Linked DNA regions of Pelodiscus sinensis. The protein of the gene in region 1 interacts with the protein of each later gene in a pairwise test. Links are inferred from orthologs where the notes say so. Each region holds a gene or a part of one and is shown on either strand. Other genes may lie near its edges. The genes, in order: CREB3L1, TSPO, SLC61A1 and FAM3C.

Region 1 (7,749 bases):
GTCTGAAAACTGTAGGTACTGGGGGATACTTATAATTTTTTTGAAGGGGTACTTTATTAAAAAAGGTTGAGAAACACTGATATACAGCACTGTCCCCAGGGGAATATGAGCTTAGAACATTTATGTTTTAGAAAAAAAGTGTAAATACAAAGCAGGATCTTTGAGCTGACAGACTTTTTCTCCTGAGACATTTTTAATCTCTAGGATGGAGAAGTCCCTGTTTGAATGTGCTGAAGTGTTTTTCCTTTGCAATTCAGACAAACAAGTCACGTTTACTTTGCTTGACCTTTTCTGATGACACGCCTACCTGGTGAATACAAACAGTAGCTCTGCCTCATACATGCACCCCGCCTGTATGAAAAGGGTGATTCTGAAAGGAGATTTCCTTAAACTAACTTAGGTGAAAAACTGGATCAGAGAGGCTTTATGCAATTCAGAGTAATTTGGTTTTAAAAATCATGGTGTGAAGTTTAGTGCTTATAAAAGTAACATGAGGGTTTGGTTAGTGAGGGCAGGAACAGTGCAAGCTTCCCCTATAATAGCTCTACCAGTGCACCTCAGTCTTGACACTAGCACTGCTGTTTCAGCCCTCAGTTCTGCTACTACCACCATCCCCAGTTTCACTGATACACGTTACCCATGAACAACCCTAATCCTTAGGGAGAAGGGCAGGGGAAAGAGCCCTCTTCCTAGGGCTTGTAAACATTATGGAGAAGATTAACCCTCCAGAGGTCGATCTTCTAGTGTTCAGTTTAGTGGATCTAGTGTAGACCACCCAATCAAATGCTGAGGGCAGCCCCCACCAGCATCCTGTGCTCCTCATTCTGAGAGGAGTAAGGGAAGCCTGGACAGGAGTGTGTGAGCCCATTGGCCTCCTGCAGTTTATCATAGAATCATAGAATACAAGGACTGGAAGGGACTTCGAGAGGTCATCGAGTCCAGTCCCCTGCTCCCATGGCAGGACCAAATACTGTCTAGACCAGTGGTCCCCAACCTTTTTAGGTTGTCGGGCGCCAGGGGGCGTGGCCGTTTGCCCGCCGGGCGCCAGGGGGCGGGGACCGGGGGCGCCCCCCCATCCACGCGCCCGGGGGCGGGGCCCCACCTACCGCGCGCCCGGGGGCGGGGTCCCCCCATAGCTGCATGCCCGGGGGCAGGGCCCCCTCTAAGGGTCGCGCGCCCGGGGCCGGCGCTCCCCGCCACCCCCACCCTCCCGCCGAGTCCCGCGCGCCCGAGGCCAGCGCTCCTTCCCCCCCCCCCGCCGAGTGCTGCGCACCCGAGGCCGCCGCTCCTGCTCCTCCCCCCCCCCGCCAAGTGCCGCGCGCCCGAGGCCGGCGCTCCTGCTCCCCCCCCCCCCGCCGAGTGCCGCGCGCCCGGGACCGGCATTCCCCCCCCTCCTGCCGAGTGCCGCGCGCCCGGGACCGGCGTTCCCCCCCCTCCTGCCGAGTGCCGCGCGCCCGGGACTGGCGCTCCCCCCGCCGCGCGCCCGGGGCCGGCGCTCCCCCCGCCGCCTCCCGCCGAGTGCCGCGCGCCCGGCGCTCCCCCCGCAAGCGCCCATGCGCCATGTGCCCGGGGCCAGGCCAGCCCCGAGCACCTGGCGGGCGCATTGAAATGCCCCCGCGGGCGCCATGGCGCCCGCGGGCACCGTGTTGGGGACCACTGGTCTAGACCATCCCTGAGAGACATTTATCTAACCTACTCTTAAATATCTCCACAGATGGGGATTCCACAACCTCCCTGGGCAATTTATTCCAGTGTTTGACTACCCTGACAGTTAGGAACTTTTTCCTAATGTCCAACCTAAACCTCCCTTGCTGCAGTTTAAGCCCATTGCTTTTTGTTCTATCCTCAGAGGCCAAGATGAACAAATTTTCTCCCTCCTCCTTATGACACCCTTTTAGACACTTGAAAACGGCTATCCTGTCCCCCCTCAATCTTCTCTATTCTAAACTAAACAAACCCAAATCTTTCAGCCTTCCTTCATAGGTCATGTTCTCTAGACCTTTAATCATTCTTGTTGCTCTTTAATCATTCTTGTTTAGATGCTGCAGTGGCTCAGCTTAAGGTAAGCCGAATCCAGCTATGCATTTTGCTGGTCTAGTGTAGTCCAGTGTGCTTGTCGCTGGACTACTCATTCTTTTAGGCAGCACCAGAAGTGATGAGGAAATAAATGTCAGTCTTCTGAGAGCAAATGGGTGCCCTGGGAAGAAGGTCAGAGAAGCCCTAAGGAAACTCATACCACTGCAAGAGGAGAATAGATATTTCCAGCTTCCTTGGGAAGGATCGAGTGGAGCCCTTTTCTCCTAGCTTTTGAACCACATGAGCAGACCTCTAAAACCATCAAGAAGGGACTCTTTCACCAGACAAAGTGTAATGTAGCCATACTGCCCATGTGTAGCCCTGTGTCCCCACATTAGAGAGCTGGATCTGAGGTGGCTCTGTTACCAGAGACTATGGACGGGGAGTGTAAGGTTTTTGTTCTGTTTTGTTTTGTTCTGTTTCCATTGTCTCCTTGTAGTGGTTATGAAGTACGCACTGTGGACATTGCAAGTTTCTTCCTTTTTTCCTGTGTTAAACAATTAGTCCCAAATACCTTCTTGTTTTTGTTCTTGATGTAAGTGACAAGCTGAAAGTCTTCTGGAATCCTAGCCCAATTCTCTGCTCACTATTTGTGTCTATGATTTTCATTTACATTAAGGCCACTTTACTCCTCATGGGCAGCAGAAAGGGATTGGGAAAGTGAGAGCAAATGTAATTTAAAGTGGCTATAAGCCCTGGTTCTCGCTCACACTATGGAGCATGTCTACACTGGGGAGTTATTTCAAGATAACTCCCCTTATTTCAAAATAACAAGGCGAGCATCCACGCTACCAACCCTGTCATTTTGAAATAATGGGCTTGTTATTTCAAAATAATAACTCCTGCTTGTGAAAAGGAATAAGCATATTTTGAAACAGTTATTTCAGGAGTTATTATTTCGAAATAACTTATTTTGAAATAACCTAGTAGTGTAGACATAGGCTATATGTGCAGAGAATTTGCACATGGGGACTAGTGTGAGGGACATTCTCTGGTCTTTAGGATTTAGGATTAGCCCTGAGACCTGGTGGAATCAAGAAAAGAGTGTGACTATGAACCTTCAGTTGTTGATGGCATCTCAAAGTCTGACACAAACGCAAGTGTCCCCAAAGCGCCTGTCTCCTACTGGTCAATTTCATCATTTTAAATTATTCTTGTAGTTGGAAGTTGGCAGCCAAGTGTCCTTTGGGAGAAATGCACCTTCATTCTCTCTGAAGAATTGGTTCCCCAGACATAGATGAAGGATTCTTTGGGCTACACTGGCTGAGCCATGAGGGTAGGGATTGAGGGATACCAGAACTGCTTCAACAGGATTATTCTAAGAGGTTTTCCTAAGTGTTCATCAGAGTGAATATCAGAGGGGATAGGGATTTATAATCCTGTTTATTTGAAGACATATAATCTTCCTGAAGCTCTTAAATGGTGCCTGAATCTTTAATTACAGAGCTGCAAGATGGGATGCTGCTAACAGGCCCCCCTGCACTGACTTTTGCTGAGGGTAATTGGCAATAAGTAGTCACATGAACATTAAGCTGACGCTAGGCTTGGCTATCTTAGGATAAAATATTGGCAGATGTTTAACAGTGAACTTGCTTTGGCAGTCAGTAAATGTGGCCACCCCTGTTCTAAGGTAATGAAAGGAATACCTAGGGCAGGGCTACTCAACACGTGGCCCATGAGCTGCATGTGGCCCACGGTCCATTTGTTTGCAGCCCATGATGTGGTTTGGGTTTACGTGGTGCTCAACATGTGGCCTGCGGGTGGGAGCCAAAGCAAAAAAATAATCAATATAGTGGTTTTCCGTTGATATGCATTTTAGCATTTAAATTCCTGGACTGTCATTGCTCATTAAAAGTGCTGTCACATGGGTGGAAATCTGGTAAATATTGCGTTTTATTAATATCAGCAGAACCAACTTAAATGGGGCCTGTGTGTTGTGTAGTCTTGCCTTAATCTTTGTATTCATGCCCATCAGTGTGAAAGAAGCTATTTGTATATATATGTGCATGTATATGCAACCACACTTAAGTTGCGGCCCTTGGCATGTTCTGTGAGTATTATTGTGGCCCCCGGGGCTTCCAAAGTTGAGTAGCCCTGACCTAGGGTGTTGGAAATACACTACTGGCTCAGAAGAGTGCCACCTAGTGTATCATCCCCATAATAGTGGTAGGGAACCTTGTGCTGTAGCAATTGGTATCCCTCAGTAGGAGATGCTCTCTGGGAGTACAGAGCCCAGTGCCCTAATGTGGTGCTGCAGAAGTTGTCCTTGTCAGAGTCATTGGGATGTCCAGGAGAAGTTCTAGATTGTGCTGGGGACACACATTAGCACTGGGCCCTGCAAAGGCGGAGCAGTCAGCCGTGGCCTGGCTGCCACTCTTGCATGCAATGGTCTTTCACAGCTTTCTCCCTCTTACATCTCCCCACAATGGCTTCTGTCTGTGTTGTCCCCCAGGCTGTCTGGGGCCTGATAGCTGCTCAGATCCTCCACGAGCCCAGTTCCCTGCCCTGGCTCTGGGTAGGATGCGCCCACTGTCCCTAGCTCTGTGCTGTCAGTGTGAGAGCAAGGGAGGAGCAGGGCATTGCACCAGAGCTTCCTTAAGAGGCTGATCAAGGAGGGGAGTGCTGCCTCGCAGAACCTTTAATATTCATGAGCTAGGGGGCGTGATGTCCAGGCCGGCCAGGCGGCTGAGCCTGGGGATCCTCGGCGGAGTGTGAAAGTGACAGCTGGGCAGAGGGGAGTCCCGGCGGAGTGCACCGCCCCGCCTTCCTCCTGCACGGCTCCAGGAGGCAGCCCGGGCCCCTGCCCGCGCCCGGGGGGTTCGGATCTGCCCAGCCCCAGGCGTGGCACCTTTGCCCCCCTGTCCCGTCCTCAGCCGTCGGGGGACCCCCAGCAGCCCCCGCCTCTCCGGGGAGCCCCTGTGCCCCCGCGCCCTATGGATTGCCGCCGTCCCTTGGGAGGAGGAGCCATGTGCAGTCGGTGCCCGGGGCCCTGCCATCGGCTGCACCGGGCGGCGCGGGAGTAACTCCGAGCCTGGCGGGTCTGCGGAGGGAGCGAGGACGCCCCGGCTCCGGCCCGCCGCGCTGGCGGGAGGGCGGCTCTGCGCCGCACCTAACCCCGGCACCATGGACAGTATCCTGGAGCCCTTCCCCTCCGAGCGCCTCTTCCCCGGAGGCGGCTCCGGCTTCCTGGACCTGGGCGACCTGAACGAAGCGGATTTCCTCAGCAATGTGGTAAGGGCGCCGGCCGGCGGTGGGCGGGGGCTGCCTGGGCTCGTCCTGCTTGTCCTGGGCTCCCCGCCAAACGGCTCCTACTCGTGCCGGGAGCCTGGGCAGCGCAGCGCCCCTTTTCCTGCACCTGGCTGCAGTCCTGAGCGCCCCCTGGGCCTCAAAGCTCAGCCAGCTCAAGTCCTCTGGAGCTCCCCCCCCCCCCACACACACACAACTCCTGGCACCTCCTCTAGGGGATCGGTCGTCTCAGCCCCTCTAGTAAGATCCATGCCATTGTTTTTGAAACCGTGTCTAATAGGGATCCCGCAGCAGGTCCTGGGGTGTAATTCCGTGGCATAATTAACTCATCCCACTCTAACTGCACTGGAGAGTGGAGACCCTAAAGCTGTGGGGGCAGCCCTTCTGCTGCTATTTCCCTTGCTTACCTGCTTTTTGTAAAATGACCTGGGGGTGAAACATCTGTTGCTTGGCTAACACAGTAGCGATTTACTTTAGGGGGAGGACGAGTGAACTAGGACTAGATCTATTTAGTGTGTCAAAAGAGAGTATTTGTCTTTAAGAAGATTGTCCAGACTTTGTGTACTCATGTCATGTAACTCACATGTACAGTAGTTCCATAGGAGGTCGTTATCCCAGATGAGGAATTCAAACTTTGTTGTTTGTGAGCAAATGTAGCTTTGGATTATCTGGGGTTATCGTCCCAGTAAAAGATAAAACAGTGACACAGAATCTGGTTTGTTCTAAGTGTAACATGTTTTATTTACATGTACACCAGTCCTGGAACAGAGATGGTCACAAACAGCATGGAAGTAATACCTCCTTTCAGGCCTCTCCATGGCCTGTCTCAAGAATTGACTCCAGTTAGAGACAAAGGATATGTCAACATCATGGAGGGACTGCAGCACATGTACACATGCCTAAATTACCTTTGATCTAGCTAACTCAATCAATATCAGTGAATTCCAGCAGCAAGGGACCCTGATGATATATTGGAGTGACTAACCTGTACTGCAGCAAGTCTTCTATAAGTTATTTGAGCTAAATAGAGCACATCTAGCCTACTGTTTATGAGTGGAGACGGCATACCTCTAATTGCAGTGTAGACATACCCTTAGGTTGAGAGTAAATTCTTCTTCTGCTTACACAGCTCATTCTACCTAGAATCTTTGCATGCCAAAACTAACCCACGCACAGCAGGTCTTCTCAAGACAGAACATTTGTTCTCAACCTAAGACCTGGTCTGCATACATTTGAAAGTTTTACTTGTGTAATTATTTTAATTAGGAGTGGGATCTCTGCCGCCCCCTCAGTAATACTGGTAAAAGCCTTTGGATGGGATGAAGTTATTCTAATATAAAAGTCCCTTGCAGCAAATTAGCTTATTTTTATATAAGAATAATATAAATCATTATATGTATTTTTATGCCACTATATCTGGAGCCGCATTAGGGGAGTTGTATAACTTAACTATATCAAATAGACTATACCTACTGCCTCATCCAGTGATACCCACCATGACATGATATTTACAAATGTGTACTGACCATATGCATTGTGTTAATTTCCTGACTGATTAAATTCCATCTCTGTTCTGGCAGTGACTGTAAAACTGACCTGAGGAGTCATCCATTTTCATTATTTCTCAGTGACTCTAGATTTATTATGCTCAATTGACAAGTAAAAACTTTTTTTTCCATTTACACCACAGACTACCCTGGGGATCTGAGACTCTTTGTTCTTGTGCAGGATCAACAATAAAGATTCTGTAATCTTAGTGCAGATAACAAATCTGTTGATGATACCAAAGCCAGAATGTACTGGAATCTAATTCACCCTTTGTGTAGTGGATCTGCAGGGAAAACTGCCATAAAAAGGAGCAAAGATTAACTTTAGGAAATCCATCAAATCTTAATGGGACGGGATCTGTTGATTAAGAAGATCTCATTTTTACATAGTTGCTTTTCAGAGTATTGTACTTAACATCAAAGCACTAGGGTTGCATGGTAATCCTTAAAACTGTCAATGATTTTTCTTTGGAGGGAGAGATGAGGTTCAATATGGAGACTCTTCATGTAATGCTCAGCAAATGTAGTTCCCTCTAAAGAAGTTGAGTGAGCATTGAGTTCACTAAGAACCCTTTCCTGCAACAGTAACCTTCTTTAGTTAATCATCTTGTCACTTAAGCAGTAGTTTATAAAATCTAAGTCTGTTACAAGATGAAATAATTGGATCATAGGTCTAAGGTGCATCTTGGAATTAATAAATTAATGTGTTTGAAAAGGGATGTTTGAAAGAGAACAGTGTTATTTGTCAGAGGATGACTGATATCTAGTTTAAAAAGCATAAACATGGCTGGGTCTAATCAGTGCTTGGATGGGTACACACAAGGGAAAAGGTGTCCATGGAAAATGTTCCTTTTGTTCACTGAGATGAGCATATTACTAA
Region 2 (7,829 bases), on another chromosome or scaffold:
AGGTTTTTCTAAATCCCAATAGTTGTTAACAAGGGACCAGGGATTATTAACAGTTACATTTACATCAGTGTTATTTATAAGACTAATTATGTATCTAAAAGTTTTAACACTACTACTTAATAATACCGCTAAACAATTTCAGATAACAATACTTACATTTAACAGACACACAAACTACAACAACAACAACATATTTGGTATTCGTTATGTTTGGTATACGTTACGCTCTACAGGAACTTGTTTGGTTCGGTGAGCGGGAGGTGGCCCTCGGGTGATCAGTCCTCGGACCTGGCTCATATTCTGCCATCCAATGTTTATTCGGGATTCCTCAATTTGATACAGGAGGGGAAGCTGTTTTATAGAGAGAGCTTTTGTGTGCTTTTTGTGATAGGCTAGCAGACCCTGTCTGTTAAGTGACAGGAGTAAGGGGGTGAGATGGTTTCCTCTGTTTTTCCTTTTCTGCCTTATCAGGCATGGCACGGTCAGCACAACCAGCACGAACTTTACGTGAACTTTTGGGTCTGGTTTTGGTTCCTGTTCGTCGCTGATCTTTAAGTTACATAGTGTAAGGGTTTTTCATCAAGGGGAAGTTGACCTTTTGCTTGGATGGCAATACGCGCGAGAGGCCCGGCCAGCAAAGAGCCTGCTTCCACACCAGCAGAGCCATCAGCAGCCAGGGCCAGGTTCAATATAGGGTTCTTCTTCATCCAGCCAACATAGAACTGGCTTGAGGTCCCACCAAGTAACATGGGAAATTCACACACCACTCCTGTACTCTTCTAAGAGGCAATACTTCCCCACTCGCAAGCACAGAGTCCAAGTGTAGAAAAGAAACTTAATAAAAGGAGGGAAGTAATTTGGCATTAACTTGGGAAAATCACCACAAACAATTAATAAACAAAACCATGAGTAACAGTCCCGCTCAAAGTAGATCGGGCAGTGTCCTTTTCCTCTCAGGTTCTTAAGTCCAGCAATCTAAATGTCCCCTTCACATGTCCAACCCTTCTTTGCACCCCACTCACAGTTACTACCCTTGGTCAGTGCAGACCTAGAGTTCAGAGGTGCATTCACCGAGTTCAGCTCCCATCCCAAGTGGGGGGAAGTAAAGAAGTATCTTGTTCACTCCGCTGGTCACTCACCATCCACCTGCTCACTGCTCTCTATCACAACCTTGATGGTCATTCATCTCACCACCTATCTGTCATCACCCTGCTAGCTGCTCATTGAAACTTTCAGTCACCACCCTGCTAACTGCTCCTTGTGGTGCTATCATTCTACTGGCCACTCTTTGCATCTTCCCTATTGGGTCTCAATCACCAGGGCTTGACGAATGCACTCACCTGCTCGCCCGTGGCAAGTAGATTTTACCAGCTGGCAAGTGCAGGGGCGGGCTGGCCGAAGCCTGCACTACAGGCGGCGCGGCCCCATCCGATCCGCTGGCCGGCGGAGGAGCACAGTGCTGCTGGGAAGGGGGAAGTGTGGAGATTCTTCCCACTGGGCTACCTGCATGCAGCTCCGGCACGAGAAGGTGGGGCAGGATGCTAGGACGCTGGCGTGACCTGTCCCTGCTGATTTTAAAGGGCTGCGGCAGCTCAGCTCTGGCCGCGTGTCTCTGGGAGCTGGCTGCGGCGCGCGGCACAGCCAGGGCCCGCCCCACCGACTCCAGTCCTGCCACGGCCCCAGACCCCCTTTGTCTCCACATCGCCTGTTCCCCTGCACCCTGGACCTCCTGCTCTCCCTCTTCCCTGTGACTCTTTGGCTCTGTGCCGACCTTACACCCCACACACTGCTCCCCCCGATCCCTGCCCCCCAGCTCTGTGCTGCCCATTTCCTGCACTGCCCCTAGACCACGATCCCTCTGCCCCTCCCATTCTTTGCGTCCCATTCCCCGTGCCCCTGCATTTGAAGACTCTTTCACTAAGGCTGTGTCTAGACTGCAGGGTTTTTTCAAAAAAAGTTGCCTTTTTTTGAAAAACTTCACCTGCGTCTAGACTACAGCTGTGTTCTTTTGAAATTAAATCAAAAGAATGTGGCTTTTCTTTCAACAGTGGTACTCCTCATTTCACGAGGAAGAACGCCTTTTTTCGAAAGTGCTCTTTCGAAAAAAGGCATTGTTGAATGCAAACAGGGCTTTTTTGAAAGAGAGCAGCCAGACTGCCTGGGTGCTCTCTTTCAAAAAAGCGGCTCACTTTTTCGAAAGAAGAGGTTGCAGTCTAGACGCTGTCTTTCGAAAGAGGCTTGTAGTCTAGACGTACCCTAAGTGTATGTCCCCTTTAGTTTGGGACAATTTAGCACAGATCTACTTTTCTGTATTCCCACAAAATTACAAACATTGGTCACCATATTTCAGCTGTCCCTGCATTTAATACAAACATAGCTGGTAGTGAGTCACGAATTAAATTGAGTACAATGAGTAAAATACCATTCTATCTGCTGAATATCTAATAGGGATGTTAGAGTTTAACCAGTTAAACTCCTGGCCACCAACAGGAGCCCGCAGGTCTGGCAAGCGCCAGCAGCATGCGGGGCCAGCAGACATGGGCATCCTCTGGTTCCAGGAGCTCACTGTGTAACCGACTGAATTTTAGTTGATTACATAGTGTTTTTTTTAATTACATTCCTAATATCTAACACCTAAGCAAAGCAGGAGCAAATTGTATTTACATAGACACACCCAGGGTCTTGCACAAGAGGTGGTTTTTGCGCAAAAAGGAGCCATCTACACAGCTCCTTTTTGGGCAAAAATGACCCCTAATTAATTATGCAAATGAAGCATAGTGATATGCTAATCTGCACTTCATTTGCATAGGCTTTTGCGCAAGACCAGGTGCAGTATAGACTTAGCCATAGAATGTAGGGGTTCTTTTAGGGTCTGGTTTATGTTGGCTTTGTTTTGAAATGGGATTGGCTTGATTTTTCACTTATTGTGAAAGTTGGACACTTATTCACAGTGTGTGAAAGTTGGCAAGCCGACTCAATTAATTATCAGGAGATTAATGGAGATTTTCGTGTTGGGTGTCGAACATATAAGAGCACGTGTAAAGTTTCACAAATGTTACAAGTAACAATTACAAGTACAGCAGATAGAAGAAGTCTTATAACCATCTGGGGGCCCCTATTGCCCAGGCTCTAGGGCTGTCCCTAGAGGGACCCAGGGCTACCACCCTGCCCTATGCCCCACCCCATTTCACTTCCCTCCCCCCCAAGCCTGCCCCTACTCCATCCCTGCACAGCCTTTAGGTTTGCCAGATGGTTTCAACAAAAATACTGGACGCACTTGACATTACATCACAATTTACATTACAATGTTATTTAGAAAATATGGGACATTTTTATTTTGTCATTTATATTTTTTCAGTTTGTTTCCCAAATAGAAAGCTCAAATACTGGACTGTCCGGTTCAAAACCAGACACCTGGCAACCCTACCAGCCTTTGCCTTCACTGCATCCCTCCCCTATGCAACCTGAGCTGGAGGGTTACCAGGTGCAGGGTGGCAGCAGGGGTTAGCCTCCTTCCATACTCACCACAGCAGCGGGAAGTGGAACTCCATGGTCCCAGTCCGCTCCCCCTAACCCTACATCATGCAGTGGAGCGAGGCCAGGATGCCCGCCTCCTGCTGCCATGGTGAAGCAGAGGGTAGCAGGCTGGGAGATGGCGGTGGGATGAAGTAGGTTGTGGGGTCACTTCAGCTCCTACTGCCATGGTGAGCGCAGGGAGGCCCAGACCCCTGCTGTCACTGCATGTCAGACCCCCAATACTCTTCTAAGCCACCCTGGGCCCACCACGGATGAGATGGGGGACTGTCTCATGGTCCATAGGATGGCTGAGGCAGCTGCTGCAGGGCCCCCCAAAGTGCAGAGCCTGGAGTGGCTGCCCCCAAACTATTCTATGGATGGAACAACTCTGCTGGACTCCACCAATATCAGGGCCAGATCTCTTCCCTGGCCCCATCTGTCACCCCTGTGGGCCTCTCTTTGCATGTCCCTTAGCTCCACCAAATAGCCCCCCGCATGCCTCCCCAACCCTCACTTGATCTGTGCCCTGGGCAGCAGGCAGCTGCTCCTGGGCCCCCTGCACTCCCTCACCAGCTGCTGCAGCCTGGTTGGCTGTAAGGAATGGGGCCAGCAATGACAGGCTGACTGCTGCATTTGCAGAGAAAAGGGGGAGTAGGGGCATGCACCCCCCACCCCCGCAGGTGACTCAGAGTGGACTTCTTCTGAGGTTTGAGTGAGTGCCAGGAGGGGGAGGAGGATCTGCCCTCTCTGGCTTCAGCCCCAGGGCAGCCTGCCTCCTGGACTTCAAAGTTTGAGCTCCTCATTCCTGTCTCATCCCCATCCCAGAGCCCTTACCCCCTTGGCCCCAACCCTCTGCTCAAGGCTTGAGCCCCTCCCAGACCCCAAACCCGTCATTCTCAGCCCTCCCTCACTCCTGGCCCATTCTGGACCTCACCAAGAATTATACAAACCTGTCCCCCTAACCACTGCAGTCTGCGCTGCTTCAGTGGGAAGAAGCATTTTTCTGCTCTAGACTGAAGCAAAGGCAGCCCTGTGATGAGTTCAATTGCTCCTCCAAATAGAGGTGCACGATATTACTCCCCTTCCCCCCATTTTTAGTGTAAGCTTAGAGCACTTGCTGTCTAACCTCCCACCCAGACCCAGCAGAAATCGTGACTGTAGGCAGCCGAGCGTGGCTTAGACCCCTTTGCATCAAAATCAAGCCTCTTATTAAAAGTCAAACATGGGGCTTATTATTTTCACTTTCATTTTTAAAACAGGAATTCTTCCTTTTATTTTTTTAACCCACCACGCCTCCGCCGCCCGGAACACGCACTGCAGGAAGGGAAGAACGAGGTCTGGAACTGCCCAGGAGCTGCTGCCACTTTGAGCGAGCGCCCTTTTGCCCGCGACAGTGTGAACAGAAGGGGCTCGGGATCTGCGCGTGAAATCTCCGCGCACTCAGCCAGGGTCGCTGCAAACGCCGCCGCCTCCTCCTGCAGCGGGACAGACTGGAGCCAAACAACACAAATTGTGAGTCTAAGACGCTCCCTAACCCTCCCCCCCCCGTGCGCGCTGGAGCTGTGCAGGGCCGCGCCCCGCTCCCCCCCAAGCACACGAGGCAGAGGGTGCAGCCAGCTCCGCCCCCGGTTGCCCTGCTGCTCCAGCTCCCGCCGCTCCGACGCGCGTAGGAGGGACACGCGCGCTCAAGCCGCACCCCTGCTGGGTCCATAGAGCAGCGCCCTCGGCCTGTCCTCTGCTCTGCTCCTTGCCGAACTCCGGGCTGCAGCAGGTGAGTGAGTCTCCCCCTGCCTTCCCCGGGCACGAGCTTCTGCTTGAGACTCTCCAGCGATTCCCTATTAAGGCGGCGGGAGGAGGGAACTGCTAGTTTCCAAGGGGAACGGCGGGTCTCTCAGAAACCACAGTTGCGCCAGGAGGAAGCAGGGAGAGTCAGCGGTGTCACTCTATGGGCCTGGATCTAGCAGCAGGGGCGGAGGAGCACTTTCTCCACCACATCTCGTGGCCGAGGAGACATTGGGAATAGCACGAGGGGGTTAGCCCCTGGGTGCCACACCGAGTGCTCGGAAATAGCAACCGGGAGGCGGTGTTTTGTAGTGCCACACATTGCCAGGCAGCGTTGGGACTGCAGGAACAGCCCTGTCATGCAGTGCCTGATAGGCTATGTCTAGACTGCAAGCCTCTTTCGAAAGAGAGCGTCTAGACTGCACGTGGAACTTTCGAAAAAGTGGCTTGCTTTTTTGAAAGAAAGCACCCAGTGAGTCTGGATGCTCTCTTTCGAAGAAGCCCTATTTACATTCAAGAACGCCTTCTTTCGAAAGAGGAACTTTCGAAAGAAGGCGTTCTTCCTCGTGAAATGAGGTTTACCGCCGTCGAAAGAAAAGCCACGTTCTTTCGATTTAATTTCGAAAGAACGCGGCTGTAGTCTAGACGCAGGTGAGGTTTTTTTCAAAAAAAGGCTACTTTTTTGAAAAAACCCCTGAGTCTGGACACAGCCATAGTGAAAGAGCCAAGGAGTGGGATTCCTAGCCTCGGTCCAGTCTTAACCTCGGTTAGTTCATCTGTAAAACACACAGTATCATTTAAGAGGCACTTTATTATTATTAATACAAAATGCTATACTGTACGGTGTATGCTAATAAAGTTGCAGATAGATCAGTAGTTAATTTATAGGGGGCTTGCGATTTGTCACTAGCATTTGACATTTTGCAGTTAAAATGTTAAAGAAAGTTGTTTCCTTTTCTCCCACGTTTATGTGAACACAGAAAGAAAACATTTGGGAAGGCTCGCTGACTCTAGGAAAGAATGGGAAATAGTGCTTAGTAACCTTTCCTTATGTAATACAGGCTTCTGCTGGTGGAATTTGGACTGTAGCAAAGTATCTCCACAAGTGTATTTATTCCAGTCTAAATGCCCATGATACCTGGAGCTGACCCATGAAGCACAGTTAGTGGGAGGTGTCAAACAGGCAAATAGCCAAAAGATTTACTAAACCAGCCTTTAGTGCTAAACCCCATAGTAATTTAAAGCTGCTCTACCATTGTAGAACCCCTGTGCAGTTTGGGTCCATTCATTCAGCGGCAATGAGCCAGACCCTAGCTAGTGAACTATTACACATTTAACAAAACTAATAGCATTTACTCCTGTTCCTTCTTGGCCCAGTTGTATCTCATTTGGCTTCATAGGGGCCTTGAACTTTATCCTCACATCCAGAATTTCATGTGGTCAATATTTACTTTTTTTCCCCAGTGAGGTCGAGATAGTTTTGAGTATGATTTTAAACTAGTAGCATTTACCCGTCAATAAATCTCACAACTGGCTATATTTATTGCAAGCTTATTCTACCTGTTAGTAAGAGGGGGAAAAGAATATGCTTGTTTTTGCTCTTTTCTGTGACACTATGTAATGAAATAGAGTAAATTCATGAAAGGCTAAAGTGAAACAGACTTTAGTTAAGTGATCCCTAACTGAAGATTATAAGAAAAAAGTATAAAAGTCTGCATTTGCACTTGTGTAATCAGTGGGCGTTACTTTGGTGTTCTGAAACAACATCAAACAGTGAGTCACATTTCATGGAGCCATTTAATAAAAGGAATTGGGTCATTTAACTCACTGGAGTGAAAATGAACCAGAATAGCAAACAATACAGCTGGACCTTCAGAGACCAAAGAGTCATTACGGGAAAAAAGTTACTTTACCGCCAGCACCTTCCTCTATGCAATCCCATTATGTGAAATCTCAGTCTTCCCTTCCATCTTATTCAGCATTGGAGAAGCCAGTGAGACAATGTGGACTGAACTGACAACAGAACAGAGACACCACACAGCTCTTCTCTTGTTTTTTCCCCTGCAAGAGGTATAAAGAGCAATGCTCCCCTCTGAGTTGAGATACATTGGATGAAGAACAGCACTCAGGCCTAACTGAGGCAATGCTGGTGGGAAGAGACATGCTCTGAATAACTCACTTCTCTTAGCATCCCCCATTATCAAGGGCATCTACTCTCAGGTTAAGCCAAGCTCAGCCAGAGCTGTCTCTTGGGTAGGGCAAATTGGGGAGACTGTTCCAGGGCCTGCACATTTAGGGGCCCCCATTTGCCAGTGTGATTGGTCCCGAAAGACAAAGCCATCACGTCCACAGGTCCCACCATCTTGTTGGCAGTTGAGAGACAGTGCTCAATTTGGTCACCTGCGTTTCATTGCAGTGAGTCCCCCATCCTGACTGGCGTCCTAAGGCACTGTAGCACTATGGTTAAGAATATCCCTGTAATAGATGCCAGGAACTGCCAGCAGCAGTATGTGGCCTAGCACCAGGCTGGA
Region 3 (7,802 bases), on another chromosome or scaffold:
CCCCCCTCAACAAGTTTTGCTGCTATTTCTTTTGTGGGGGGGGGAAGGGGGCGTGAGGGTTTTTCAAAAATCAAAAGGGGGGCATGATGCCAAAAAGTTTGGGAAGCACTGCCCTAGATGATCACAACCATCCCTTCTGGCCCTGAAATCTGTGAATCTGTGTGTGTGTGTGTGTGTGTGTGTGTGTCTCCACTGCCCTCTTCTGGAAGGAGCGAGCCCTGGTTTTCTGTGTGTGCACCCCTTGCGGTATGGAATCAGAACTAGTGTACTGTGTGTCATAGCCTCCATACTGCTAACAGCCATGGGAGATTCCCCTCTAGCTCTGGGCTTTTGCAACAGGAGGATTCAGATGAATTGTGCTCCTGCTGTTTAAGTGGCCATGACATGCCAGGCACAGATTCTGTCACATGTGGGAAACCTGGTAGCCTGACAGCACCTGTAGAGAAGGTTCATCAGACCCGCGCCACTGACTTGAATTACCCTTGTTCTGGGGCTATTTAATTTTCCACCCAGGCCCCTCAACTCCCATAGGAACCCCAAGAGGGAGAAAGTGACTCCAGATCAGGGTCAGGAGACTGAATGCATCTAAAGATCCAGTGGCTAGAACGTTGAACTGGGGCTTAGGACAAGCTGCTTTTCCCTGCTTGGTGCCTCAGTTTCCCTATCTGTCAGATGGGGATAATGATCCTGACGTGCCCTGAGGTAAGGGCTAGGTACTTTATGATTGTCATTGCCTGAGCTGAGCGATCCAGTCATAGCAACGGGATGGGAAGAGCTTCCTGGCTTATTGAATCCAGTCCCCAGGCAACCTGGCTTAGAATTATGTAACACAATTGAGGACCCTTGGCACCCCCAGACTCTAAACCCTGTACTCTGCCTGGCCACTAGAGCTGCAGGCTCAGCTCTGATCCTCTTCCTGCAGGTGCTGATGGTGCGGTTCTCCTCCCTCTTCAACCCCAAGGAGAAGGTGGTGACGTTCCTGAGCGGCGAGACCTACTCGCTCTGCAGCCTGCGCACCATGGGCATGGGCTGCCTGCTGGACGCCATGTTCGAGTTCAGCGAGAAGCTCAGCTCCTTGGGGCTGGATGCCCAGGAAATGGCGCTCTTCATGGCCGTCGTCCTGGTCTCAGCAGGTGGGTGCGAGCCCTCGGGCCAGCGGGGGGATCTCTGAGCGGCCAGCCAGGCAGGTGAAGTCAGTGACGATCCCCCTGCAAAGCTCCTCCCTGGTGCCTCAGGCCGTGTGTCCTGTTGTTCACTAGGTTTGGCGCCTGTGGAAAGACAATGACGGACTGGCAGTCCCCAGTGCCCCTCTGGGGTCCCACGCCCCGGTGCATGCAGAAAGCGGATGCACATGGAGCTTACCCTGCCTGGGCCTTCCAGATTCGCCAGGGAACAGGACTGACCGAGCTGTACAGGACAGCGTCCTCCTAGTATTTCAACTGGAGGGTCATTGCCCTTTCCATGTTAGAGGTGGGGAAAGACCTAACTGGGCACCAGCTAAACACTTTGTCCAACCTGGCTTTAAACATCTCATCCCTTCTTTCTGGAGACTGTACCCCAGGCTGAGATCTGGGCATTAGGAAGCATCTCCTTGCTGTTTATGAGCTGCTGTGTGTGTCAGATGCTGTCACAGAGGGAGATTCCCCTGCAGTGGGGACCAGTTGATTTTTTGGGGGAGCAGATTGGATATTAATGTCATGGCTCATCTGGTTCATAGATCGCTCCGGCATCTCAGACGTGGATGCCGTGGAAATCCTTCAGGAGACCCTCATCCGGGCCCTGCGGACTCTGGTGACAAAGAAGCACCCTGATGACTCCACTCTCTTCCCCAAACTCCTCCTGCGCCTTCCTGATTTGCGAACCCTCAACAACCAGCACTCGGAGAAGCTCCTGGCCTTCCGGATTGATCCTTAAACCCACCGGAGATGCCCACCCTCTGAGCCTAGGGGGAAAAGGATCAAGAACAATCGCCAGACCCAGCACCTCGGGCTGTGTTTCTTTTGAAGATGAGGAAAGAGGGCTCTGGTGCTGACGGGCAGCACGTGGCCTGTCGGAGCTGGGCTCTGCCAGCACACCCCCCCAGTCTGGGGTGATTGGGTTGAGGAGGAGAGAGCACACCTCCCACACGGCGCTCTCTGCCGCACAGCCAGGCCCGGAGACCGTAGCAAACATGCATCCGAACCGACCGCACTGACACAGTGTAGTTACGTGTACGTGTAGAGAACGCTCTGTGTCGTTCTGAGGGTCTAGTCTGTATATAAGGAGCCTGGACATGTACATACAGCGCATAGGTAGCTCTCGGGGAACGGCTCACCCCACTTGTGTTTGAGTTGAGGACCTAGTTCCTTCTTAGGGTGCATGCTCATTTATCCCATTCCCCTCTGTTGCCACCCTCCCTCCACACCACCAGCCCTCTCCTATGGAGAAAACATCCCAGGTGGCTTGTGGAGCTTTGCTCTGTGAACAGCATAGGATAGACTGGACCAGGAAATTATCTGCAGAAGCACTTGTCTGGCCCATTTCCACCTGCTGGGGAGGGGCAGGGGCACGTCTCTCCCCACCTCCGCCCTTTGCTGTGTGGTTTGTCTTGTCTGGTGTTTTTATAAAATGTCTCACGCCATCAGGGCTTCCAGGGAGCTTTTGGCAAAGGCTGACTAGTGATGGCTCAGCTAGGGGACAGTCTCTCAGAGGGGAGAGGCTGAAGGAGGCAGATCTCGAGTGCAAGCAGGGGATCTAGACTGTCATAGGAGAAAGGTTTTAATTGACACCTTCCTTCCTCCCCCCCCCCCCCCCCCCCCGTTGGGGCCCCAGGGATGTCTCCACCTTGGCTATTTCATAAAGGATTAATTCAGCCCTCAGGAGAGGTTGATGAAACCCGCCTGCTTCTTTTCCCTGCCCACGCACATCCCCCTTGGGCAGCATCGCTTTGTACATTCCTTCCTGCCAAGCCATGTGACCCATGATTTCCCTCCCGGAGCCTGGAATAGAATTCACCATGCATGCGCTAACCACCAGCCAGTTCCATTAAAGAAAGCACTGGCTCCATTTTCCTTTGCTCCCATTCAGCTCTGCCTTGCTCTAACCAATAGACCCTGGCTTCCCTTCCCCACCCATGGCCTAACCACTAGACCCCATTCCCCTCCCAGAACCACATTCTGAATCTCATTGCCCCAGCCATTTAGACTACTCTCCCACTGCCGAAGAGAATGGCTCGAACTGTGCGGGGCAGGTGGCACATTAGACCACTGTAAGGTGAAGACAAATCCAGCAACCGAACATGGGGCCCAAAGCTCCCTAGCTTTGCATTTCAATACATATCAAATCCTAATGGCCCCTGAGGAGGGAGAACTAGCACATCAGAAGGGAGCACTTTGTGGTTTGTGTTTGGGTCTTTGCCAAGCTCAGAACATTTGCAGGGAGAGGGGGAGCCGGGCTGTGCTTCAGCTCCTGGCCGTGTGGCTCTGTTTTTTGTTTGTTTTTTGTTTGTGTTTTTAAAAGAGCAGCAAAACTTTGCACTTTTCTGAAAAATATAAATGTACAGAAAATAAACTACCCCCTATCCCAACTTGGAGCATATCAGCAAAGGGATGCCCTCCAGGGGCATGGCTGCTAAAAGCCCTAGTGCCTAGCAGTGGAAGAAAAGAAACGGTTTATTTTTGGTCTAATATTGAAGTGCAATAATTAAAATAAAGATTTGCTTAACATTGAGTGAAGTGTCCACATGTTGGTATTGTTGCAATTCCAGGGGCACCCTTCACCAAGACCAGCTTCCCCTTGCACTGGGTGCTGTGCAAACCCCACCTCCTGAAGTCATGAGAATCTATGACAATTTTCATTTTTCAAGGAGGATAGGGCTATAATTCAAAATGATCTGCACCAACTGGAGAAATGGTCTGAGATAAATAAGATAAGTTCGTTAAGGACAAATGGAAAGTGCTCCACTTAGGGCGCAAACAATCAGTTTCTCCCATACAAAATGTGAAATCATTGTTTAGGAAGCAGTCCTGGCAGAAACAGATCTAGGGGTCATAGTGGAGCACAAGTTAAATATGAGTCAACAGCATGACACTATTGCAACAAAAAAAAGCAAACACTTCTGGGAAAGAGAAGTGTTGTGAGCGGGACATGAGAAGTCATTCTTCCGCTCTACTCTGCACTGATTAGGCCTCAGTTGGAGTATTGTGTCCAGTTCTGGGCACCACATTTCAAGAAATCTGTGGAGAAATTGGAGATGATCCAGAGAGGAGCAACAAGAATGATTAAAGGTCTAGAGAACATGACCTGGGGGCAGGGGGGAAGAATTGGGCTTGTGTCGTTTGGAAAGGAGAAGACTGAGGGGAGGTGATAGAGGTTTTCAGGTATTTTAAATGGTGTCACAAGGGATCCGGGGAATTGTTCTCCTTGGCCTCTGAGGACAGAACAAGGAGGAAGGGGCTTAAACTGCAGCAAGGGAGGTTGAGGCTGGACATTAGGAGAAAGTCCTGCCTGTCGGGGTTAAACACTGGCCTACGTAGCGGAGGGGGCTGTGGCATCTCGTCGCTGGGGACATTTAAGGGCAGGTCGGATGCACCTGCCAGGGAGGGTCTGGCCCAGGGCTCCGGGCCGCGGTCGGTCTGGGTGCACACGCAGCCCGCGGGCGGGACCCTTGGAGCATGGGCTCCCCGGCGGGCTGAGCGCCGTCAGGCCAAGCGCCGGGCTGGCTACAGGCGGGTCCAGGGTGTCCAGCCCCCCAGGAAGGAGCACTGGGTCAGTGTGTGAGAGAAGGTATTTGCATATATTTGCATATATATTTGCATGCAGATGCAACCACACTTCAGTGGGGGCCCTGGGCACGTGCTGTCTGTGTCACTGCGGGCCTCGCGTCACGTGCCCAACGGCCGGGTGGGAGGGGGCGGAGTCTCAGAGCCGGAGTCCGGCGGACGCAGCAGGCGCGGACCCAAGGCAGTTTCCCCCCGTCACGTGACCCCAAAACATGGCGGCGCCCTGGGCTACTTCCAACGGAGGCCGGCGAGGTGTCCCGGAAGCGGATCGCTCGGGCCGGGGCGCGTGTGTGTAACGCGGGCGAGCGACCCCCCCTCCCCTCCCGAGCGAGCGGAGCAGGTGAGGAGCCTTGCGGGGGGTGGGGGCCGTGGGGGGGAGGGAGAGGAGTTGGGGGTGGGCGGGTTTGGGGACTGGGGGAGGCCGTGGGGGGAGGGGAGCTGGGGGGGTGGAGGCCGTGGGGGGGTGTTTGGGGACTGGGGGAGGCCGTGGGGGGAGGGGAGCTGGGGGGGTGGAGGCCGTGGGGGGATGTTTGGGGACTGGGGGAGGCCGTGGGGGGAGGGGAGCTGGGGGGGTGGAGGCCGTGGGGGGGTGTTTGGGGACTGGGGGAGGCCGTGGGGGGAGGGGAGCTGGGGGGGTGGAGGCCGTGGGGGGGTGTTTGGGGACTGGGGGAGGCCATGGGGGGAGGGGAGCTGGGGGGGTGGAGGCCGTGGGGGGGTGTTTGGGGACTGGGGGAGGCCATGGGGGGAGGGGAGCTGGGGGGGTGGAGGCCGTGGGGGGATGTTTGGGGACTGGGGGAGGCCGTGGGGGGAGGGGAGCTGGGGGGGTGGAGGCCGTGGGGGGGTGTTTGGGGACTGGGGGAGGCCATGGGGGGAGGGGAGCTGGGGGGGTGGAGGCCGTGGGGGGGTGTTTGGGGACTGGGGGAGGCCATGGGGGGAGGGGAGCTGGGGGGGTGGAGGCCGTGGGGGGTGTTTGGGGACTGGGGGAGGCCATGGGGGGAGGGGAGCGGTGGTGGGGTTTGGGGACTGGGGGAGGCAGTGAGGGGGGAGCTGGTGGAGGCTGTGCGGGAGGGGTGGGGGCAGGTGCAGACTGGAAGAGGGGAGGCTCTTGAATCATTTGGGGGTTCTGGGGAAGGAGAGGCTCTAGGAGGAGTGGGAGGCTGGTGGGGGAGGGGAAGCAAGAGGGGGCTTAGGGAGCAGTGAGGGTTGAGAGGGGGGGTTCAAGTGGGAGTTTTCAGGGGCGAGGGAGGCTCAGGCTTTGGGGGAGTGGTGTACTTGGAGAGAGCAGAGCTAGGGGGTGCTTCTTGTTAGGATGCAGAATGAGTTGGGGAGGGTCTGAGGCAAGCCCTTGTGGGGGGTGGGGGAAGCCTGTGTAGCTGTGAGTGGAGGGTTGGAATGGGAAAGACATGCTATGAGAGGCCTGTGTGTGGTGTGTCTGAGCAAGGTGGAGCTGCCTGCCAGTGGGAGCTGAGCCCATAATTCATCTGGTTCCCCCGCTCAGGTTTGCCTTTTCCCAAGGGGGTCTGGAGAGATGTGGAGGTGATTCATCATCTCCCTTACCAAGCCCAATATGTACAGTGCTCTCTTGTGATGAAATATTTTCTGCCATTAACAGGGCTTCACTTGCCACTTAGACCATGTTTTCAGCAGAATGTGTTTCTATTCTAGTGTGTTTCTCCAGGGGACAGGAATCAACGTGATGATGATTCCACTAGAATCTTATTGGATACACTGGCCCCCTAGCAATCTCAGGCTCTTTCACATTTGGTTTGTCCTCTATTTTATCTTTGAGCTCCAGTGGGAGAGTGCTGGTCAGAGGAAAGCTTGGATCTCCTGCACGAGTTTGCAAGAGGTTCTCTCAGTAGAGCCCTGTGCACATACACACTTTGTATTCACATCTGTATCTGCAAAAACGAGCCGCAGATATCCACAAATTTGCCAGGCTCCAGTTCTCGGACCAGAACACAGACGTCCTCATCACAGGTTGCCATTCTCAGCCCATAGGCTGAACAGAGAATGGAGTATGCAGGCTAACCTGCTCTGTCACTCTGATCAGAAGAATCTCTTCAGGGTAGGTTGGAGGCATGTGGGCAGGGCAACACAGGTGATGCTAGCTGTGCTGCTCTTCCTCTGACTAAACTGAATGTTTACCTCAGTTTTCAGTCTAGTATTTTTCACCATTGCTTTACAAACAACAAGATCTCTGCCTTTTAAAGAGCTACAAAGAAACCCAGTAAGAGCTTTTGAAGCATGATTTAGAATGAGGTGAAGGAAGACACAGGTGTGAGGGGTGGCATTATCAATGCTATACCCAGATTAATGGAAGAGAGCACTCCAGGCACTTTCTGGCAATCTTGTCACTTCTAAGAGACCTAAAGGAAGCCACTCCATGGTAATCTGGGTGTGAGGGTTGGCTTTAAAACTGGTAGTGCCTTTTTGTAGTTTTTCCTGTTAAAACATGCCAAGTGGGAAGTTAAAAATCTCCAATTCAAGTGCCCCTACTGCATGGGTTCCCAAACTGGGGTGTGTGCCCCCTGGGGGGACTTGAGGAAATTCCGGTGTGTGGGGGGGTGCGAGGTGACCGCCCGCACTCCCCCCCCCCCCCCCCCCCCCACCGGTGAATCTTCCCCCTAAGTTTTGCTGCTATTTTTGTTTTTTGGCCCCGGTCAGTTCGTGGGGGTTTTTTTTCCCCTCAACAAGTTGTGCTGCTATTTGGGGTGGGGGGTGAGGGTTTCTCAAATCAAAAAGGGGGCGTGATGCCAAAAAGTTTGGGAACCACTGACCTACTGGATCATTCTTTCAGGAACCCAACCACAGAGCTACAAATATCACAGAGCAGATCACATGATTTTTTTTTCTTTTCACTGAGGCTATTATCTTCCCATATGACCTAAGGCTAGGAAAACAGGATATGATTTTTTTCCTGGCATTGGTTCCATGCATTAGCTACTCTGGCCAACAGTCTGTGGGTACCCAAAACTTTGCATCCATTCACAGTGAAGAAGTATCAAAGATCATGAAACTAACTGTACCATCTGTGGCTTT
Region 4 (7,574 bases), on another chromosome or scaffold:
CCTATAGAAGAATTTTTTTTTAAAAGCAGCAGTATAAGGCTTGGGGATAGCAAGTGATGGAGAGGAGGAGAATAGAGGGGGCGGGGCTGTAGATCTTGGCTTGCTCTGTCATTTAAAAAGTGATCTTGGGTGTAAAAAGGTTGGAGACCACTGCTCTAAATCAAATACTAATACTTCCCATCACTGTTTGAGAATTTAAATAAACAGAAATCAGGTTCCATTTTATGATTCTTGCAGCAGCTGTAGAGCTACATGTGCATATTGAGGGTGAGAGGCAGTAGGGCAAGGGTGTTGGTGTCCAGGGGAGCGGTCCTGGAGTAATTGTATCTGTGTGAGGTGTGTCTAGACTACAGGGTTTTGTCAACAAAACTATACCTGCGTCTACATTACCACTGAGTTCTGTCAACAGTAAGTCGACAGAATGCGGCTGTTTTGTCGACGGCGGTAAACCTCATTCTTCGAGGAATAATGCCTTTTGTCAACAAAAGGTGCTATTGCATCCACACTGTGCTTTTTCAAAAGAGAGCGTCTAGACTCTCTGTCAAAAAAGTGGCTTGCTTTGTTGACAGAACTGGATGTAGTCTAGATGCTCTTTGTTGACAGAGCCTCTGTCGACAAAAGCCTGTAGTCTAGACGTACCCTGAGGGGGCAGGGGTTCTCTCCTTCTTCACCCCATTCTCTCCTTTTATCTCTTTCCCCCATGGAGTGAAAAGCACCCCGCATGTTTCCAGTGCCAAATAGCTGGGCATTAGGGCCGTGTCCAGACTCAGGGGTTTTTTCGGGAAAAGTAGCCTTTTCCCGAAAAAACTTCCCCTGCGTCCAGACTCAAGCCGCGTTCTTTCGAAATTATTTCGAAAGAACGCGGCTTTTCTTTCGATGGCGGTAAACCTCATTTCACGAGGAAGAACGCCTTCTTTCGAAAGTTCCTCTTTCGAAAGAAGGCGTTCTTCAATATAAAGAGGCCGTCTTCGAAAGAGAGCATCCAGACTCGCTGGGTGCTCTCTTTCGAAAAAGCGGATTTCTCTTTCAAAAGATCCGCCTGCAGTCTAGACGCGATCTTTCGAAAGAGGCTCTTTCGAAAGATGCTTTCGAAAGAGCCTCTTTCGAAAGAAGCCTGCAGTCTAGACATAGCCTAGGGGTTGAGGCCCCATCTCCAATATATTACAGCCTCAGTGCACTCAGCCCCAGTGCTTGGGGCTCCAGGCAGCCAGGCAGTGTGGTGGCTTTGCTCCCCATTCCAGTGCTTAGGTGGCCTGGCAGCATTGTCAGTCCTAGTGTTTAGGCAGCCAACCCTAGACAAGCGCAGTCCTAGCTGCTCAAAGTTGCCACGGGAGGTATGCTAGCCAGCCTCTTGGGAACAGCAAGAGGGCCTGGCCTCGGACAGAGTGAAGATGGGGTCACAGTAGACTGCTTGGGGAGGCACAGCCTCCCCCTGCCTACAATACCCACCACCAATGCCTGGATGCCTTAAGCCCCAGCTGCAGCCATGCAGCAGAAGTCCTGAGTCTGGGTGCCCAGAGACAGAAGCCACCAGAGGCAGAAGCCCTGAGCCCGAGCACTCTTAAGCCCTTGCTGCAACTACAGCAGTGGCACCCAAGCTCAGGCATCTGCAGCCCTGAGCCCAACTCCGAGGCTGCTGCAGTGCAGAAGTGAGGATGTGCACTTCTGCGCTGCCTCTGGAGGTGGTAAGATCTCTCCACCAAGAGCAGACTAGCAGTTAGGAGCTCCTGGCTGGGGCGCTTCCAGCCACATGGGGAGATCAGATTTCACAGAGAAGGACTTATTTCAAAGTTCATGACATGTTTTTCATTGCCATTGAAGTGGGTGGACCTTAGTCATGAAGGATGGTGAGGTAAAAAAACAGGCTAAGGAAACTTTTATAAACATGATTGTACCAAAGTAGAAAATACGCTTTCAAAAATGGATGTATGAGGCATAACTTTGCATGTAGGAAGTGGTGGTGGGGAGTTGCAGGTGTGATTCCACTCCATAAATGGCTCACAAATGCACTAATTATGTTCAGGGACCCAAGCAGGCCTTATTTTAAGAAAAAAGAAAAAACTAACAACCTGATCCCAAATAAGTCACATTCAGGAGTATTCTGGGTATATTGATGCTAGCCTAGTTTATTCTCTATAGGCTAGGACAGGGGTGGGCAAAAAGGCCTCTGCGGGCCAGATCCAGCCCACAAAGCAAGTGGATCCGGCCCACGGAGGCCCTGCTGCTCCCCCCGTCCCCAAGCCAATTAGGACCTGGGGCGGGGGAGTGCCTGAAGCCTTCTTTGCACTGCCCCTGCCCTGGCTTACTTGGCTGGGGGTGCGGGAGCACGCGAAGCCTCTTCCTACCCTGTGAGTAGTGCGTGGCGCTTAGAAGTGCCACGCACTGCTCGCGGGTGGGGGGAGAGTGGAGGAGGCTTCACGCACTCCTCAGCCCCCAGGCCAATCAGAGCCTGGGGGTGGGGGAGCTGCGTGAAGCTTCCTTCACTCTACCCCAGCCCTGCGAGTAGTCCGCGGCACTTCAGAGTGCCACATTTGCCTTTCAGGGTGGGAGGAGGCTTCCCATGCTCCTCTGCCCCCAGGCACTGATTGGCCAGAGGGTGGGGGAGCGTGCCAAGTCTCTTCCAGGACATGAGTGTCTAGTGGGAAGCGGGGGGCAAAGGGGCTCCCCCACCCCCAGACCAATCATGGTCTGAGGGTGGGGTAGCCCTGCCCTTTCCTATTTAGGCCCCATCCCTTCTGGGGTGACCCGGGGCTACTTAAAAAAGTGGCCCCCCAGGCAAAAATTATTGCCCGCCATTGGGCTAGGAAGAGGTCTCAACCAAGTGTGGGTTCATACTATTTTGGTTTTGAATAAATGTTTTTGTCCCCATCCTAGCAGTACCAGGTTTACTGTGGTGCCATCATGTGGAGCTCACACACCAAAGGGCCCATAACAACTATATGGGGGCCCACAAAAAGTTGATCTGGCCCTGTGGAGGGGATGTCAGTATGAGGGGGAAGAGGCCTGCTGGTTGTGGTGTCATTGTCCATGGGAAGGTCTGTGGGGAGGGGTGCTTTAGCAGGGCACTGGTGTGGTGGGAAAGGACCCAGTGGCAGGGAGGTTGGGGAGCTGGAAGAGATGCAGCGCTGTGGGAGGGAGTGTTGATGTGTGGGGGAAGGGCTGTGGGGGATGAGATACTGGTGTAGGTGGGAAGGGTTGTGGGAAGTGGATGTCAGTGTGTGGTGGAGGGGCTGAAGGGAGAGGAGTGGACAAGGGAGGGAGTATTGGTGATGAGGGAGGGATTGTGAGGAGGAGGGTGTGCAATGGGGGAAGTGTTGGGTGTATGGGGCTGAGGCTGTGGGGAGGAGTGGGCGATGGAGGGGTGTTGGTGTCTGGGCAAGGAGTTCCGGAGAGGAGCAGTTGGTGTATGGGGAAGGGTTGCCAGGAGCAGTTGTGCATAGAAGGAGTGATGATGTGCAGGGGAGAGGCTTCAGGGAATGGGTGTGCAATGGAAGAGGTGTCAGTGTACAGGGAAGGAATGGTGGGGAAAGGAGTGGACAAGAGAGGAGATGTGGTGGGGAGTGTACAACGGAGGAAGTGTTGGGTATATGGGGAAGGGGCGGTGGGGAGAGGAGTGGGATGTTGGTGTGTGGGAAACAGGTTATGGGGAGGAAGTGTTGACATGTGGGGGAGGGGTTGTTCATGGAGGGGGTGATGATGTGCTGGGAAGGGCTTCAGTGAAGGAGTGTGCAATGGAAGGGGTGTCAGTGTGTGGGCTAGGGGGTGTGAGGAGGGAGTGGGGTCGATGTGCAGAGGAAGGACTGTTAGGGGCAGTGTTGGTGATGGGGGTGCAAGAGAGGGGGTGCTGGTGATGGGGGCGAGGGGCGGTGTGTAGAGAAGGGGCAGTGGGGACGGAGTGGGCAATGGAGGAGATCTAATTAAGTATTATTATTATCATGTTATGATATGGCTTGTGCGCGAGTATTCTCGCTCACACTCTAGGACCGCGCTATGGGCTACTATGCTGATTCACCGCTTGGATATGGGTATCAGCACATAGTTGCGTACTGCCTGGCTGGTAGACACACTCACGCAGTGTGAGCATGTCTACCAGCCAGGCAGTATGCAACTACGTAGTAGTGCTGAATATTTTCCTTTTATAAACATACGATTCGTGACAGTGTTGCCCTTTGTCTAGCTTTCATCTTCCTCCTGTCTCTTTTAAGGTAAGGAACAATGAGCAGCTTTATCAAAAAAGGCTGGCCGCCTTACATTCAGAATTTTCTAATTTTGTTTAGGATCTTGATATCCATAATGAGCAATGCAGAAAATGAAGTTTTTGAAAAATAAAAAATGGATAAAAGCTGCGCACTAATGTAAAATATACCATGTAATGTGGATTGTCAGCAATAAACTCCCCATATCGTGGGGGTTGGTTTTTTTTTTTTTTTTTTTTTCTTGGTCTACACATTTTTATCACGTGTGTCCGGTATTTTCATTGAAACCATCTGGCAACCCTAGGTGGGCGAGGGGCGGGGCGGGCAATGGAGGGGATCGGGCAGGAGCTGCGGGGGGAGGGCCCCGAGCAGGCCGTGGAGCGGAGGCGGCCGGCGCTAGCACAGACTCCGGCCCGGGTCCGCCAGCGCTAGGGGGCGGACGAGCACCTCCCGCCCGTGCGGCCGCAGCGGCAGAACCGCTGGGCTTCCTGCTCCACCGCCGCCCTCTGAGCTCTCGTCAAGCCGCGTCCGCAGGGGCCGGGCGGGCAGCCGGAGCGGAGGCGCAGGTAAGGGGCTCCCGGCTCTCTCCAGCTCGGGCCTTCCGGGCTGGGCCCCCGCCGCCGCGTCGCACACCCGGCTCAGGGACGCTGCGCAGCGGCGTGTCCCGGCCCCGTGCCCCGGAGCGCCTGGCCAGGCTGTGCCCCGCGCCCCGCCCTTCGCTCACCCCGGCGCTCTGAGGTCTCCGCTCCTCCCGCCGGGAGCCCCGAGCTTCCCTGCACCGCCGCCTCCCTTCCCCTGCCGCCCGCAGAGCTCTCCTCGCGCGCGTTTCGTGGCCGAGCCAGCGGCTCTTCTCCTGCCCCCTTGGCTGCCTCTCCGGCCAGCAGCACAAACCGCCCTTCTAGAGTCTCCAGCCGCCAGCCCCGGACCATTCCTGTTTTGACCCTCTCCTGGGGTTGTGTGCGCTTTGTGCGGCTTCCCTCGTTTCCTCCTTGGGGCAGCTGCCAGAAAAATACACGTACCTGAAAGGGAAAAAATTGGGCTATTCTGCACCAGGTCTGTATCTCCCCACCCGCATCGTGGGGAGGGGGGAGAATCCAAGAGGCTAAACGTGACTGTAAACTTTAAGCTTGCATAGAACCAAAAGTCGGGACAGGATGGAAATGAGCGTTTCAGTGCTGGCTCTAAGCCACTGCATTAGAGGTGAAGTATTGTAGAAAGTAGTTCAGGTGTGAAGAGCTGGATGCCTCTCAAACTAGAGCTGTGGATGAATTCTTTACAGAGGAGATAAAGATCTACAGTGTGCAAATGCCTGGTAACTTTTGACTGGGTATGCTTACATTGATTTAGGTCTTAAGTATTTATAGCTGTAAACTGAAATGAGCTTTTCTGATTTTCACCTTACTTGCTGGCAGCTGTTGTTTGTACAAAACTACTTAAAAAGTATAATTAGCCCTTCAGTTTCAGTTTCGAATTGTGTATCTTTGCTTATCTCTTCACATCTTGGTGCTGTCATTTATAGAAATGGATTTCTAACGTTTTATCCTAGATACATAAGTAAGCATAATTATTTTTCTTCTCAGCTCAACTTTCTTCATATATAACTTTGTAGTCTGATGCGCTCAATTATCTAACAGTGAAAAGCTTTAGTTACCCTTAAAGACTTAATTTTACCAGTATAACTATGTCTATTAGTGGGTTAACTTTTTTTTAACCAGTGTCACTTTGATAAAAGTCCTATTGTGGAAGCAGTTATACAAATATATCATACTACTATAGTTATTTCTTTTCTTGTATGGGAATAGCAAAAACCAACATAAAGTGCCATTATATTAATATAATTGTGTTCACACTAAGGGCACAGCACTGTTAACTGCTTTCTAATATAGACACACCCTTGTGCTCTTGGAAAGGAGGAAATACTAAGGTAAAGAAGAAAAAGTAGCATTGTATTAAACATTCTGTAACTGATCATGGAAATCATCAGTGGAATAGTTATATATGGTTAACCTGACATTCAACAAACACTGAAGACATTACTGGAGGGACCAAACTTGCATTGGTAGGGGTATGCTCTAAGGAACCAATTCACAGTTGGTATATCCTTACAGATCTCGTTGCAGGAGCTGGGTCTAAATGACCTAAACTCTTTGTTCTTCAGTTTTTCTACATCTGTGATTGTGAAGTAGAAAGGTAAATATAGATAATCTTGTTTTGGCATCTGTCACTATAATACCTATCTGCTACTAGATAGCGTAAAGTCCTGTCTGTCTTGGGACCGAGAGCAGCCTCTATCCGTGATGGAACTGGGCGCCTGCAGGAAGGAGCTGCTCCAGTGTCCAGAGCCTGGGTGCCCCCGTTAATCGGCTAAATGAGATTTTACATCCCTACTTCCCAGAAGCAGCAACATCTCTTTACTGAGGATGTAAAATCCCATTTAATTGGTTAATCAATTGAACTGTGTGTGTGTGTGGGGGGGGGAAATCAAGGATTACAGGAATGCCCCATACCCTCTGCCATAGGCTGAGGCTGCTCCAACCCAGCCAGAGTTGCTCCTGCATGCAACTGCCCCTTCCCTGCCCCCCTGCAGGCAGGGGTTGCACCAGCCAGGATACCAGAGCAGCCCTTGCCTGCGCAGGCCAGGGTGCCCCACTGGCAGGGATTGCTTCAGAATCACAATCAGAACAGCCCCTACCTGTAGGGTGCCTGGGCCCACTATGGACAGAGTCTGCTTCATGGGATGTCGGAGCAGCCCCTCCCCGTGGTGGGCCCCGGTGACCCACAGGCAGGGGCTGCTCCAGAGTCCCAGCCAGAACAGCCAATGCCTGCCAGGCCTGCCAGAGGCAGGAGCTGTGCTGGAGCAGCTCCTGTTCATGGCAGGCCGTTCACAGGGCTGGTACTGCTCCAGTTCATCTGGTTAAACCTTCACATCCCTAATCTCTACTATTTCTTGGTGGAACTATTGCCCAGGAACTGCAGCCAATGGGAGCTGCAGGGGCAGTGAATATGGGCAAAGGCAACACACACAGCAGCCTAGCCATGTCTCTACTTAGGAGCAGCAGGACTTGTCACCATTTCCAGGGAGCCACTGCAGGAGATTGCTGTCTGAATCCAGCACCCCCAAACCTTTTTGCAACCCAATCCTCAGTCCTGAGCCTCCTCCCACACCCGAACTCCCATCCTCTTAGTTAACTGGAAATTTTTATTTACCAGCACCCACTGTTCCCCCAACGTGCAAGAAAACAAAGCTCATAGTTGGATCAAAGTTTTTGACAATAAAAGCTTTTTGGTTTCCATCTGGCCCCTTCCTTTCATTGAGCATCTCTGCCATTTCCAAGTTTCCTGTTACTGTTTCTCCCTCCTCACTGACCAGTGAGCCTA

What was found.
Region 2: the proteins of CREB3L1 (region 1) and TSPO interact in binary tests that used the Homo sapiens proteins (3 or more experiments, as listed by UniProt). The two-hybrid records come from large-scale screens. The link is inferred for Pelodiscus sinensis from reciprocal best matches to the Homo sapiens genes CREB3L1 and TSPO.
Region 3: the proteins of CREB3L1 (region 1) and SLC61A1 interact in binary tests that used the Homo sapiens proteins (3 or more experiments, as listed by UniProt). The two-hybrid records come from large-scale screens. The link is inferred for Pelodiscus sinensis from reciprocal best matches to the Homo sapiens genes CREB3L1 and SLC61A1.
Region 4: the proteins of CREB3L1 (region 1) and FAM3C interact in binary tests that used the Homo sapiens proteins (3 or more experiments, as listed by UniProt). The two-hybrid records come from large-scale screens. The link is inferred for Pelodiscus sinensis from reciprocal best matches to the Homo sapiens genes CREB3L1 and FAM3C.

What each region holds. Positions count from the first base shown.
Region 1 is NC_134714.1:83,758,618-83,766,366, forward strand, and holds the start of CREB3L1 (cyclic AMP-responsive element-binding protein 3-like protein 1), read left to right. Parts: upstream 1-4,739; 5' UTR 4,740-5,199; coding exon 5,200-5,307; intron 5,308-7,749.
Region 2 is NC_134711.1:120,824,486-120,832,314, forward strand, and holds the start of TSPO (translocator protein), read left to right. Parts: upstream 1-4,819; 5' UTR 4,820-5,028; intron 5,029-5,128; exon of another isoform or gene 5,129-5,287; intron 5,288-7,829. UniProt on the Homo sapiens protein: Can bind protoporphyrin IX and may play a role in the transport of porphyrins and heme. Promotes the transport of cholesterol across mitochondrial membranes and may play a role in lipid metabolism, but its precise physiological role is controversial.
Region 3 is NW_027465863.1:45,928-53,729, reverse strand, and holds the start of SLC61A1 (molybdate-anion transporter), read left to right. Parts: upstream 1-4,790; 5' UTR 4,791-5,100; intron 5,101-7,802. Other genes in the region: nuclear receptor subfamily 1 group D member 1-like, read left to right, coding at 923-1,133, 1,718-1,914. UniProt on the Homo sapiens protein: Mediates high-affinity intracellular uptake of the rare oligo-element molybdenum.
Region 4 is NC_134711.1:42,371,130-42,378,703, forward strand, and holds the start of FAM3C (protein FAM3C), read left to right. Parts: upstream 1-4,569; 5' UTR 4,570-4,762; intron 4,763-4,819; exon of another isoform or gene 4,820-5,249; intron 5,250-7,574. UniProt on the Homo sapiens protein: May be involved in retinal laminar formation. Promotes epithelial to mesenchymal transition.